Linked DNA regions of Saccharomyces cerevisiae S288C. The protein of the gene in region 1 binds, or shares a complex with, the protein of each later gene. Each region holds a gene or a part of one and is shown on either strand. Other genes may lie near its edges. A codon is read from its position in the direction of its gene.

Evidence for each region.
Region 2: the proteins of MLC1 (region 1) and MYO2 are in contact, whole or in part, in a crystal structure (PDB 1N2D), measured with the Saccharomyces cerevisiae proteins. Residues at the interface, in NP_011409.1 of Saccharomyces cerevisiae: Leu13 (codon at 1,974), Phe14 (codon at 1,977), Lys16 (codon at 1,983), Asp29 (codon at 2,022), Arg32 (codon at 2,031), Ala33 (codon at 2,034), Gly35 (codon at 2,040), Tyr36 (codon at 2,043), Asn37 (codon at 2,046), Thr39 (codon at 2,052), Asn40 (codon at 2,055), Ala77 (codon at 2,166), Thr78 (codon at 2,169), Lys80 (codon at 2,175), Ala81 (codon at 2,178), Asp85 (codon at 2,190), Phe86 (codon at 2,193), Lys88 (codon at 2,199), Ala89 (codon at 2,202), Phe90 (codon at 2,205), Val92 (codon at 2,211), Met109 (codon at 2,262), Leu110 (codon at 2,265), Leu113 (codon at 2,274), Gly114 (codon at 2,277), Glu115 (codon at 2,280), Lys116 (codon at 2,283), Leu117 (codon at 2,286), Glu121 (codon at 2,298), Glu124 (codon at 2,307); in NP_014971.1 of Saccharomyces cerevisiae: Ile807 (codon at 2,807), Ala810 (codon at 2,798), Ile811 (codon at 2,795), Lys812 (codon at 2,792), Tyr813 (codon at 2,789), Leu814 (codon at 2,786), Gln815 (codon at 2,783), Asn816 (codon at 2,780), Asn817 (codon at 2,777), Ile818 (codon at 2,774), Lys819 (codon at 2,771), Gly820 (codon at 2,768), Phe821 (codon at 2,765), Ile822 (codon at 2,762), Ile823 (codon at 2,759), Arg824 (codon at 2,756), Gln825 (codon at 2,753), Arg826 (codon at 2,750), Val827 (codon at 2,747), Asp829 (codon at 2,741), Glu830 (codon at 2,738), Met831 (codon at 2,735), Asn834 (codon at 2,726).

Annotation. Positions count from the first base shown.
Region 1 is NC_001139.9:304,623-307,509, forward strand, and holds MLC1 (Mlc1p), read left to right. Parts: upstream 1-1,937; coding exon 1,938-2,387; downstream 2,388-2,887. Other genes in the region: RMD9 (Rmd9p), read right to left, coding at 1-1,651; ARC1 (Arc1p), read left to right, coding at 2,815-2,887. UniProt on the Saccharomyces cerevisiae protein: Essential light chain for the class II conventional myosin MYO1. Also acts as light chain for the class V unconventional myosin MYO2 and for IQG1.
Region 2 is NC_001147.6:923,830-930,945, reverse strand, and holds MYO2 (myosin 2), read right to left. Parts: upstream 5,226-7,116; coding exon 501-5,225; downstream 1-500. Other genes in the region: SNAP receptor SNC2, read left to right, coding at 1-212; FRT1 (Frt1p), read left to right, coding at 5,906-7,116. UniProt on the Saccharomyces cerevisiae protein: Myosin heavy chain that is required for the cell cycle-regulated transport of various organelles and proteins for their segregation.

The DNA.
Region 1 (2,887 bases):
TTCCTTTAGCTTTTGCAGAAAAGACCTTTTCATCCCTCTTTGATTGTGACCATACGACAGTGGCATCCCTCAAAGCGGACAGATCAGCATTGGCTATATATTGTTGGCCCAATTCATTCAGTTTCTTGACCAACTCCAGCCATCTATCCAGAATCTCTTCATTATTCGTGTTGTCTATGCTTCCCAATGATTTCAGTAGTATTCTATATGATATAATAGTTCTTGGAATATGGTACAAAGTATAGTTTTTATCGATAAAATCGATTATGCTGCGTTCGTGCCAGATAGATGCTCTAGTTAACATAACGTTAAAAAATGGTTCATCAATTTTTTTGACCCCACTGTAAAACGTTATGATTTCTTGAAGCTTACGGAAACCATTGATATTGTCATTAATATAGTTTTCGAAGAATATTGTGAAAAAAGTGTTGTTTAGTGAGGACAAAATTCCAGGATTAACAGTGTTACCATAAAATTTTACAGCCTTTTCCCATATTCTATAAACATGATCAAAATCGTTCTGTGCTTTCCATATATTCTGCAAAAAAGAGTTCACTGTAGAGACTTGTAAAATAATCTTGTATGGCATTTCATCGTTGATAATTTTGTCAAAGAAACTTTCTGCCAACGTTAAATTCTTGGAATCACCAATGAAGCTTAAGTGCGTTTCAATTAAATAACCGTAATTCCTCACTTCAGCCTTTTCACATAATTGGCCGAAGAGGGATAATGCCTTTTCGTAGTCTTCCGCCTTGATGAAGACTTTTATCAGTCCGCTGTAAAGATTGGGATGGATAAATTCTTTGGATTGAATAATTTGGTTATATAGCTCGTTAGGCTCAGTCAGAGAACGCGTTTTTGCATAAAGTAATGGCAGCATAAAACCAACCACTTTTGGTTCTTGGAATGCCTGTGAAGTAGTCTCGTCGGACAAATTCTTTGACGCTTCCCAAATTCGAATACAGTCATCGTCAAATGACAGCTCTTTAAATGAAGTCAATAGATGAGTAGCTCCATATCCGCTGACAGACACCTTGCCTATCAAAATGTCATCAGATATATCCTTTAATGAATTACATAGAAAGTTCATCATTTCCTTGTGAAAAGATTGCGAATCGTAGTCTGGCTTTCTACTTAATTTTACCAATTGGTCTCTCGTCGACCTCAGACCGTTATGCAGCAGATGAATCAAACGTGACACCCGGTACGCATTGAAATCAGGCGATTCTCTCAAAGAATAGTATAACTCCATTGCTCTGCCCATGGAGTCCCAAAACATGGCGAATGATGGATTTTTATTCAATTGGTTGTTTCCTATTCTTTTGTATGTATTTTGCAAAGGCGTGGTAGAGTACTTTAAAGCAGATGATACACACTCATCAAACGAAAGAAGCTCGTGGCGCCATGGAGAAGCTGGATCCACATTAAACACATTCTGTTCTGTTTTGCGCTGTTCTCGCCCATTCTTCTTGTCCAAAACGCCCTTAGGTACATTTTTATGAAATATCGGACTGGAGTGGTAAGTACGGTCGCTAAGAACTACGTTGGCAAGCTTACCTCTCAGCATTGCTATCGAACCGGAGTTAACAACGTTGCTTACGCTTATTTCCATAGTTTTTAACGATCTCACCGCATTTCTTCTAAGCATCATTGTCCCTTTTGCAGTATATGGACTCTCCGAATAGTGTAAGAAAATGACACTGAAACCTCACCTTCTTTTACTTATTGCTTAGACCCTCATTACAATGCCATACTGAATACATTTTTTCGAATCTTGTTCAGTCAGGAACCTCAACCATATATCATTACACACGAGTAGTAACAAAAGCATTTTGAAGTAAGATTTGAAACAAAATAATACTCAGAGTAGATCGACGTATAAGAGTTCCTTCCCCAGCGTATTCCGCCACCACCCATCGCACATACATAGAATAACAATGTCAGCCACCAGAGCCAATAAAGATATTTTCACACTATTCGACAAGAAGGGTCAAGGCGCCATTGCCAAGGATTCCTTGGGAGATTACCTGAGGGCAATTGGCTACAACCCCACCAACCAGCTCGTACAGGACATCATAAACGCGGATTCGAGCTTGAGAGACGCCTCTAGCTTGACGCTGGACCAGATTACAGGCCTAATTGAAGTCAACGAAAAGGAATTGGATGCAACTACCAAGGCAAAGACAGAAGACTTCGTCAAGGCATTCCAGGTCTTCGACAAGGAAAGTACAGGCAAGGTATCCGTTGGTGACTTAAGGTACATGCTAACTGGCTTGGGTGAAAAGTTAACCGACGCTGAAGTAGACGAGCTGTTGAAGGGTGTTGAAGTGGACAGCAACGGAGAAATTGACTACAAGAAGTTCATCGAAGATGTTTTGAGACAATGAGAGTGCGGAACTGCAAATTTAGACATTTATTACTATATAACAGAGTCCTATCGACATAAAAACGAAAAAAGCGCCATTATGCAATGAAAACTTGCCAGCGGTTTTTCATTTTTCATACTGGTAATTCAGAGAGCCAAGTCTTTCTTTATAATGCATAGCAATAAATAGTCATATATATATATATATATATATATATATGTACATATATATGAACATATATATGAACAAATAAATGATAATGGTATGTGATAGTCATTATTAACGATTAAGCGTTTTTCTTCAGTTTCTGAGGGATTCTAACCGCTTGGCGATTTTGCAAGAGATAAGAAAATTTTTCAGTCATATGGATAACCTAACACAGCGTGCGACGTATTTTACTTCAGGGCCCAATTGAATAAGAAAGTATAATATAGAGTTTCAAGAGTCAATGTCCGATCTCGTTACCAAGTTCGAATCGCTTATTATTTCAAAGTATCCAGTTTCTTTCACTAAAGAACAAT
Region 2 (7,116 bases), on another chromosome or scaffold:
TCAACAAGGTTGCTGAACGTGGTGAAAGGCTAACATCCATTGAGGACAAAGCTGATAACTTGGCTATCTCCGCACAAGGATTCAAGAGAGGCGCCAACAGGGTCAGAAAGCAAATGTGGTGGAAAGATCTAAAAATGAGAATGTGTTTATTCTTAGTTGTTATTATTTTACTAGTGGTAATTATCGTTCCTATCGTCGTCCATTTCAGCTAACGCTCATCGGTTCCCGATGCTAATTCTAAAAAATATATACAGTAGTCATAATAGTAATAATAATATAATCATAATTTATAAATTCAGTAAGAAGCAAAATGTAGTTTAATATAGTGTACACTAATACGGCGCGCGGTTAATATCTTCCATAATATCGATTTCATTATCATACTATTGACAAATACTTCTATTATTAATTAACTATGTAGTTTCATTTTTTTTTTTCTCTTTTTTTGTCATTTCTTTTTTTAGCATTCATGTACAATTTTGTTTCTCGCGCCATCAGTTTTAGTGGCCGTCTTGAACGACTTGTTGGGCAACAAGGTCAACTATTCTCTTAGTTGAGGGCAAGGATAACCACGCTGGTATATAGGCTTCTACTTGGTCAAATTTTCTTGTCTTTATCAAACTGAATGGGTCAGTAAATGGACCTGTTTCTGGAGTGATAAATATACTGCTGCTATGCTCGTGACCCTTAGAATCATTACCTGATGAAGATAACGCAGCTTCTTTCTTAACTATATCAGCAACGTATCTTAAGATTTCCTGTGGAATTGGAGACTCATAGTCTGCCACCTGGTATTGTGAAATCAATTTTTGCAATTGTGCAGGTGTTAGCGAATAACAAATTCCTCTTAAGATATCAATGTCTTCGATAGTATACTTACGGACTTGCAGTAGCTTAGCGGTCTGAATCAAATGTTGTAAGCACTCAGTACCATCTGTCAAGCCATGCGTCTTGCACCATTCCTCTAATCTAGTAACGTTGTAGTTCAATTGAAGACCCCTTTTCCACGACAAGAAATTACGTTTCATGATTAATTCGTTAAAACAAATTGCATCCACATAATTCAATAAGGTTGTGACTACAGCATGGAACACTTCATTCTCAATATGAAAAGATTTCATGCACCAGTATATGCTGTTGAAAAAGGTCAAAATGTCGTCCATTGTATATTCTTCAGTGTTAGCAAAAATTTTGTTCAAAAACCCGCTGGTTTCTCCCGCGCTGAAACCTGGTAATGATTCGGAGATGACCACAGCATTGATGGCCTTTTTTTGCAATTGCTTCTGCAATTTCTTCAGCCAAATGTTATATATATTATAACTTAGAGCTTCGAAATCATCCTTTAGTTCTGTGACCAATGAAACATACTCCTTATACTCCTCATCGGTCATGCCGTTTTTGAACGTTTCTTCGGTTAAAATAGAGTTTAGAGCAAACACCACAAATGAGTATAACTCTCTAACGTTTGCTAACCAGAATACACCGCTTGGAATTAAATCGTTACCCTTCAATTGAGTGACAACTTTTTGAATTGTAGTCAATACTTGGGCAAGAAAGCTTTCACTTTGCTTGGTCAGCCCAAATCTCCACATTTCACTTAAAACTATAATCAGTATTCTAGCCGGATAAACAACGTCTCTTTTACTTAGTTGAATAGCTACACCAGCATCCGGTACTTCGAATCCCTTTAACAGGCCTTCCGTGATTTCTTGATTCAAAATTTCAGTGTCCTCCAATAACCTGTATAACTCTTCATTGATTTGTGTAGCATTGACACCATTTTCGCGATCGACACTCAATGAATCAATGTGGTTGTTTCCGGACGATGGAGTAGATCTAGACTTTAGATTCAAATCATTAGGAGATAAGTCGGAATTCTCAAGCATCATATTGTTGAAATTTGAAGCACCGCCTCCCATTACATCCTTTAATGGTGTTTGAGGTAGTACACTAGTAGTAACGGTGCCCAGCGACATGGCAGTTTGTAACCTAGCAATTTCTTCCTTTAAAGATTTAACTTCGTTTTGCAAGTCTCCGTTTAATGTCTGGTATTCAACCAATGTTTTCTTTGTTTGCTCTAATTCTTCAAGTTGCTTTTTAGATTCTTCTTTCAATTCATCATGTTGTTTAACCATGTCCTCCAACTCTAATTGAGCGTCCTTTAGAGTTTGTTCAGTGGATTGCAAATTGTTCTCAATAGTTTTTTGTAATTCCATATCCTTAGATTTCTGATTATCAATATCTATTAAGTGCTCTTTTTTCATATTTTCTAATGTCTCTTGTAACTTGGCACTTTCTTCCACTTGAACCTGTAGTTCTTTAATTCTTTCTGTCATTTCTTTATTTTCTTTGACCTTGGATGCTAGATTCTGCGTCAGTTCAATCACTTTATTCTCTAATTTATAGCTCACTTCTTTCAGATGATTAACTGATTTAGCGTCTGCCTTCAATTGTTTCAATTTCCTTTGAGCAGCTCTTCTTCTGATCAAAGATTGGACAACAACAGTGTCTTTTTTAGTGCGTAAAAATCTCGATCTCGGCTCAAAGGTCCTAACTTTACTTTGAATAGTTACCGCAGCATTATATTCATGTTCTTGTTTCAGTTGTCTTTGTTTTAGTTCCTTTCTAATTTTCTTTTGCAAATTTGTAATTGTTCTCAATACGCTGAACACATTGGCACGGATGGAATGACCCCTGTAAGCGGCCTGTAATAAAGTTGCACAGTTAACTTTCATTTCATCATTAACGCGTTGACGAATGATGAAACCTTTGATGTTGTTCTGCAAATACTTGATGGCCTGAGATATTTGCAAATACTGCTTACGGTAATATTTAGCTCTAATTTTCTTCTGGATCATAACAATTGAATTATGCATCTTATTGCTTCTAAGTTTTTCCAGATATGCAAGCATACCTGCTTTGAAGAAAATTTTTGTATTACCAATCTGGTACTTGGATTTGTCCTTTACAGTAGCATCTAGGATCATTTTAACCACTGATATGATATCTTCTTCTGTAGTTTCCTTTTTTTTGAAGATTAGGTCCCACTGCTCATGTGGTATCAAGATGTAATATCTTAATACAAATTCTTCAAAAGTCCACCTAGAAGGAAACCCAGCACAAGATATTCTAATAGTTTCCAAAACACCACAGGCTCTGAGTTGAGACAACACCATCAAATTATCAAATTGCCAAGCTTCTTTATCTGCATTAGGCTTTATACAACGAATATAATGAACATTAGTTGAGTTGATGGTATTCATTAGTTCAATCAAAGATTGCTTAAACATGGAACCTAAAGTGGGTTTCCTGTTAACCGTTCTTATCGGACCTGGCTTTTTACTGCCAGCCTGCTCTAATTCAAGCTTTTTCGCTTCTTCCAGTTTTTTGGCAGCTTTTTCTAATCCCTCTAAGATATTTATTAGTGTCTCGTTGGTAGAAGCCTTCAACACTTCCAAATGTCCGTCAGATACGGTGTCTCTATTTTTTTCAATAAATCCTTCCACATCATAAGCGACATCTAGAGCATAATGGCTCACGATAAATTTAGTTTGCCCGAATCTTGGTTTAGAAAATACTTTGTTCGTAGGAGATTTATCCAAAGTTTGATAAAGTTTTTGGGTCCAAGATTCGTCGGAACCAGCAGGTAACCTACTTTCTTCGTCAAGCAGTGATAAAATACCCAACTTGTTTTCAATCAGATCAATACAAGGTTGATTATCATTAAACTCTATAAAAGACCATTCAATTTCTTCTTTAACGTATTCTTCTTGCTCTAATTTGAAAACATGTTGGTTGAACTCTTGTTGTAGTTTTTCGTTGGCATAGTTAATACAAAATTGTTCAAATGAATTTTTTTCAAAATGTTCAAACCCATAAATATCCAGAACACCAATAAATGAGCTAATTTGGTCGTTCACAGCCGGGTTGCATAACACGGTGTTGATATTTTCCACAAGCCAATCGAAAAGGGCGGAATAAATAAACTTAGCCACGGAATCTTTGGCAACCAGAGCTTGACTATAATTTAGATTCGAAACAATTTTCTCTGACCTTGTAATGATCTGCTTTTTGGTGACCCATTTGGCAAAGTTGTAGGCATCAATTCCCAGCAATTCGCACGCCAGTTTCAGGTTTGGCTCATCAGCTGATAGTGATGCATCATTTCTAGTTTTTTTAATTTCTATGTTACCGATATGCAGAAGTGCGGCCAAGATCTTAAATATTTGGTGTTGAGTTTCCTTGGTGATTCCGACTAATGTCAATGCATCTACTGTAATTTTGTATTCTTTGGCATCATCAATACCGTTGATCTTGGTGTCACCGCCTTGGTTCATGTAGAAGTAATCTGAGGCATCGGTAAGATGCAATTCCTCCTTGGTTTGAGCTGGTAATCCAGCCATTAATTGATAAAATATGTGGTAGTTTCTCTCAATTGGCGGCTGGTAAACTAATCTGGACCGTTCCAACAAGTATGTGCGGATCCTTGCTCCAATAATAGATGTGTCCTTATCGAATAAAATTTCTAGATACTTACCAAATCTGGAAGAATTGTCATTTCTGGTAGTCTTAGCATTACCAAATGCTTCCATGATAGGGTTTGTAGCTAGAATCTTTTGTTCTGTTTCCGACATTTCCACTTGATGTTGTACAGTAGCGGAATTTTCCTCTTCTACAGAAGCAAAATAACGCATAATATACTTGGCAGAAACCGTTTTTCCAGCACCAGATTCACCACTTACCACAATGGTTTGATTTTGTTTGTCATTTTTCATCAACCTATACGCTTCTTCGGCAATGGCAAACAAGTGAGGTTCCAGTTCACCTCTGCGCTTTCCCGCATATGCTTGGATCATGTCTTGTGTATAAAGCTGGTCGACACGATCAAAAGGGTTTGTAGCAATCAGAACAATACCCGAGTATGTGTAGATATTCAATTGAGAATAGCGCTGTTTGATGGCATGTAAAACAGCTGGCTCATTCAAGTAAGATAAAGAGGTCAAATCTTCCGTTGCTTCCAAAATGGGAGGGTTTCTAAGAAGCGGTAGAGATTGGTCCTTATCGTTATTCAAGTCTTTTGTGTCCACGGACACGATTTCATCGTCTTCCAATTGTAACTCCAGGTGGTACTTGCCGTCGTTGAACTCATTTTTGATTACTTCCGCCCCAATCCAGCCCAATTCTTTATGGGGATACCAGCATCGTGTACCCACTTCAAAAGACATTATACGCTGTAATATCTGCTGTTTTTATGTCCTATATGTACAATGGTATAAGTATCGCTGTCCAATGGAATGGTGTCGAATAGTACCTTAGAAAACAAAAAACAAGCAAGCAGCCAGAAATCGAACGAATAATTTCAAGCGAGAAAAGTGAAATGACTTTGCGAGACTTTTTTGTTCTCTGATTGGCCTTGCAAAGTTGATAGATCTCTGAAACGCAGGCTACGAATCGTATCAAATGAAGGCGTGTTTGGGATTTCTGATATTTGGCTTTTCGAGAAGCGCGATCATAAACAAAAAAAAGGAAAAAATCACAAAATAGCCCTGGGTCGGGTAATAGTTTTTGCCCTACGTTTTCGTAAATGTGTCACTAGGTGCAATTGCCAATAATTAATTGTAACCTACTCAATATCTATTTTAGCCCTACATACGTTAGGGTCGAAAATCTGTTGGGGTTTTGGTTTTAACAGCGTAAACTAAACCAGATAAGCATCGAGAAACGGCGCTTGGCACATCGTATATCAACAAGACAAACCAGTGACCGGAGTTCTGAGGCGTCTTCGAGCCTATTTATTTATTGATCTGGGTCGGATAGTTCACCCTATTTGTGGAGGAAAAGACCTTCCCATATCTAAATTTTTTTTTTTTTTTGGTTTAAGTTATAGTTGATACATTAAGTGAAAATGAACTTGCTAATTGACCGGATGGAGAATCCCGGATCGAGGAACTGTACCCTGTTACCTCCTTCATTCCCAAGAGGCTTTTGTAAGGGAAGAAGGGCTTCCAGTGGCGACGCAGTGAAGATAAAAGAATCCGGTCTACAGCCGCAGCCGCAGCCGGAACCTCTACAAGCTAAAACAAATGTTGCACACTTTTCGAAATCATCTTCTAGATTACCTGTCATAGCAGTGAATGATAATCCGGTGGTCCCAAGACCAAGCACTGAAGTAAACTTGGGATCGTTGTTACAAAAGGAAAGGGAGAAAGAAAAGGAGGAACAGCCTGCGCTGCATGATAGGAGACATTTATATGTGACAAAGAATAGGGCACATGGGGTACGACAACGTTCATTGGAAATGACTAGCTTACCTGTCCTGGGATCGACCAAAACCGGGAAGTTTAGCGATTTTTTGTTTGAAGATGACATCGATAACAGAGTAGGTCGACACAGTAGATCATATAGTGGGGCATCCAGTTTGGATGATCCATTCAGAGTGTCGCCGAAAACCGACTTCAACTCTAATAGGGCCAGATTGTCTTGCCTTAGTAAAGGACGTCGTGGTTCGATGTCCGTTTTCCAAAGCTGTCATACTGGGCTAGCTTTCAATCAAATACAGGGTTCCTCCTCTTCGCAACGTAGATCATCCGCTGGTTCTTTTGATTATGAGAGGAAACGATTGGTTAACCAATTTTTACAGCCTTCTTTGGGAAATTCAGACCCATTTGATACGTTGAGGGAGTCGGTAGTGTTTGAGCCCTCATCCACCGCTGGCGGCATTAAATTAGGGAATATGCATTCTCAATCACAAATTTCCGTAAACTCCTCCCCCAGCACATCTTTGTTTTATCATGATTTGGACGGTTCTGCTGTCAACGATTCTTCGTCATTTCTGTATTCCCGTTCTAATGTACCAGCATTTTTGTCGTCATCAGCCTTTTCGTCCACGTCATCCACCTCATCAGATTCAGAAGATGTGGATAGAAGAAGTTTAAACGGTGTATATCCCTCTTTAGGATATTTGACTAACCAGAGGAAACCAAGGAATTCATCAGGCTCTTCCACTGCACCTGGCACCGATACCTTGGGATTTAAGTATTTACTGAATAGGCAGAAGTCAGCGGATTCTTCCACTAGGTTCAAGAGTGTACTGAAGGTGAACAATAATAATGGCTC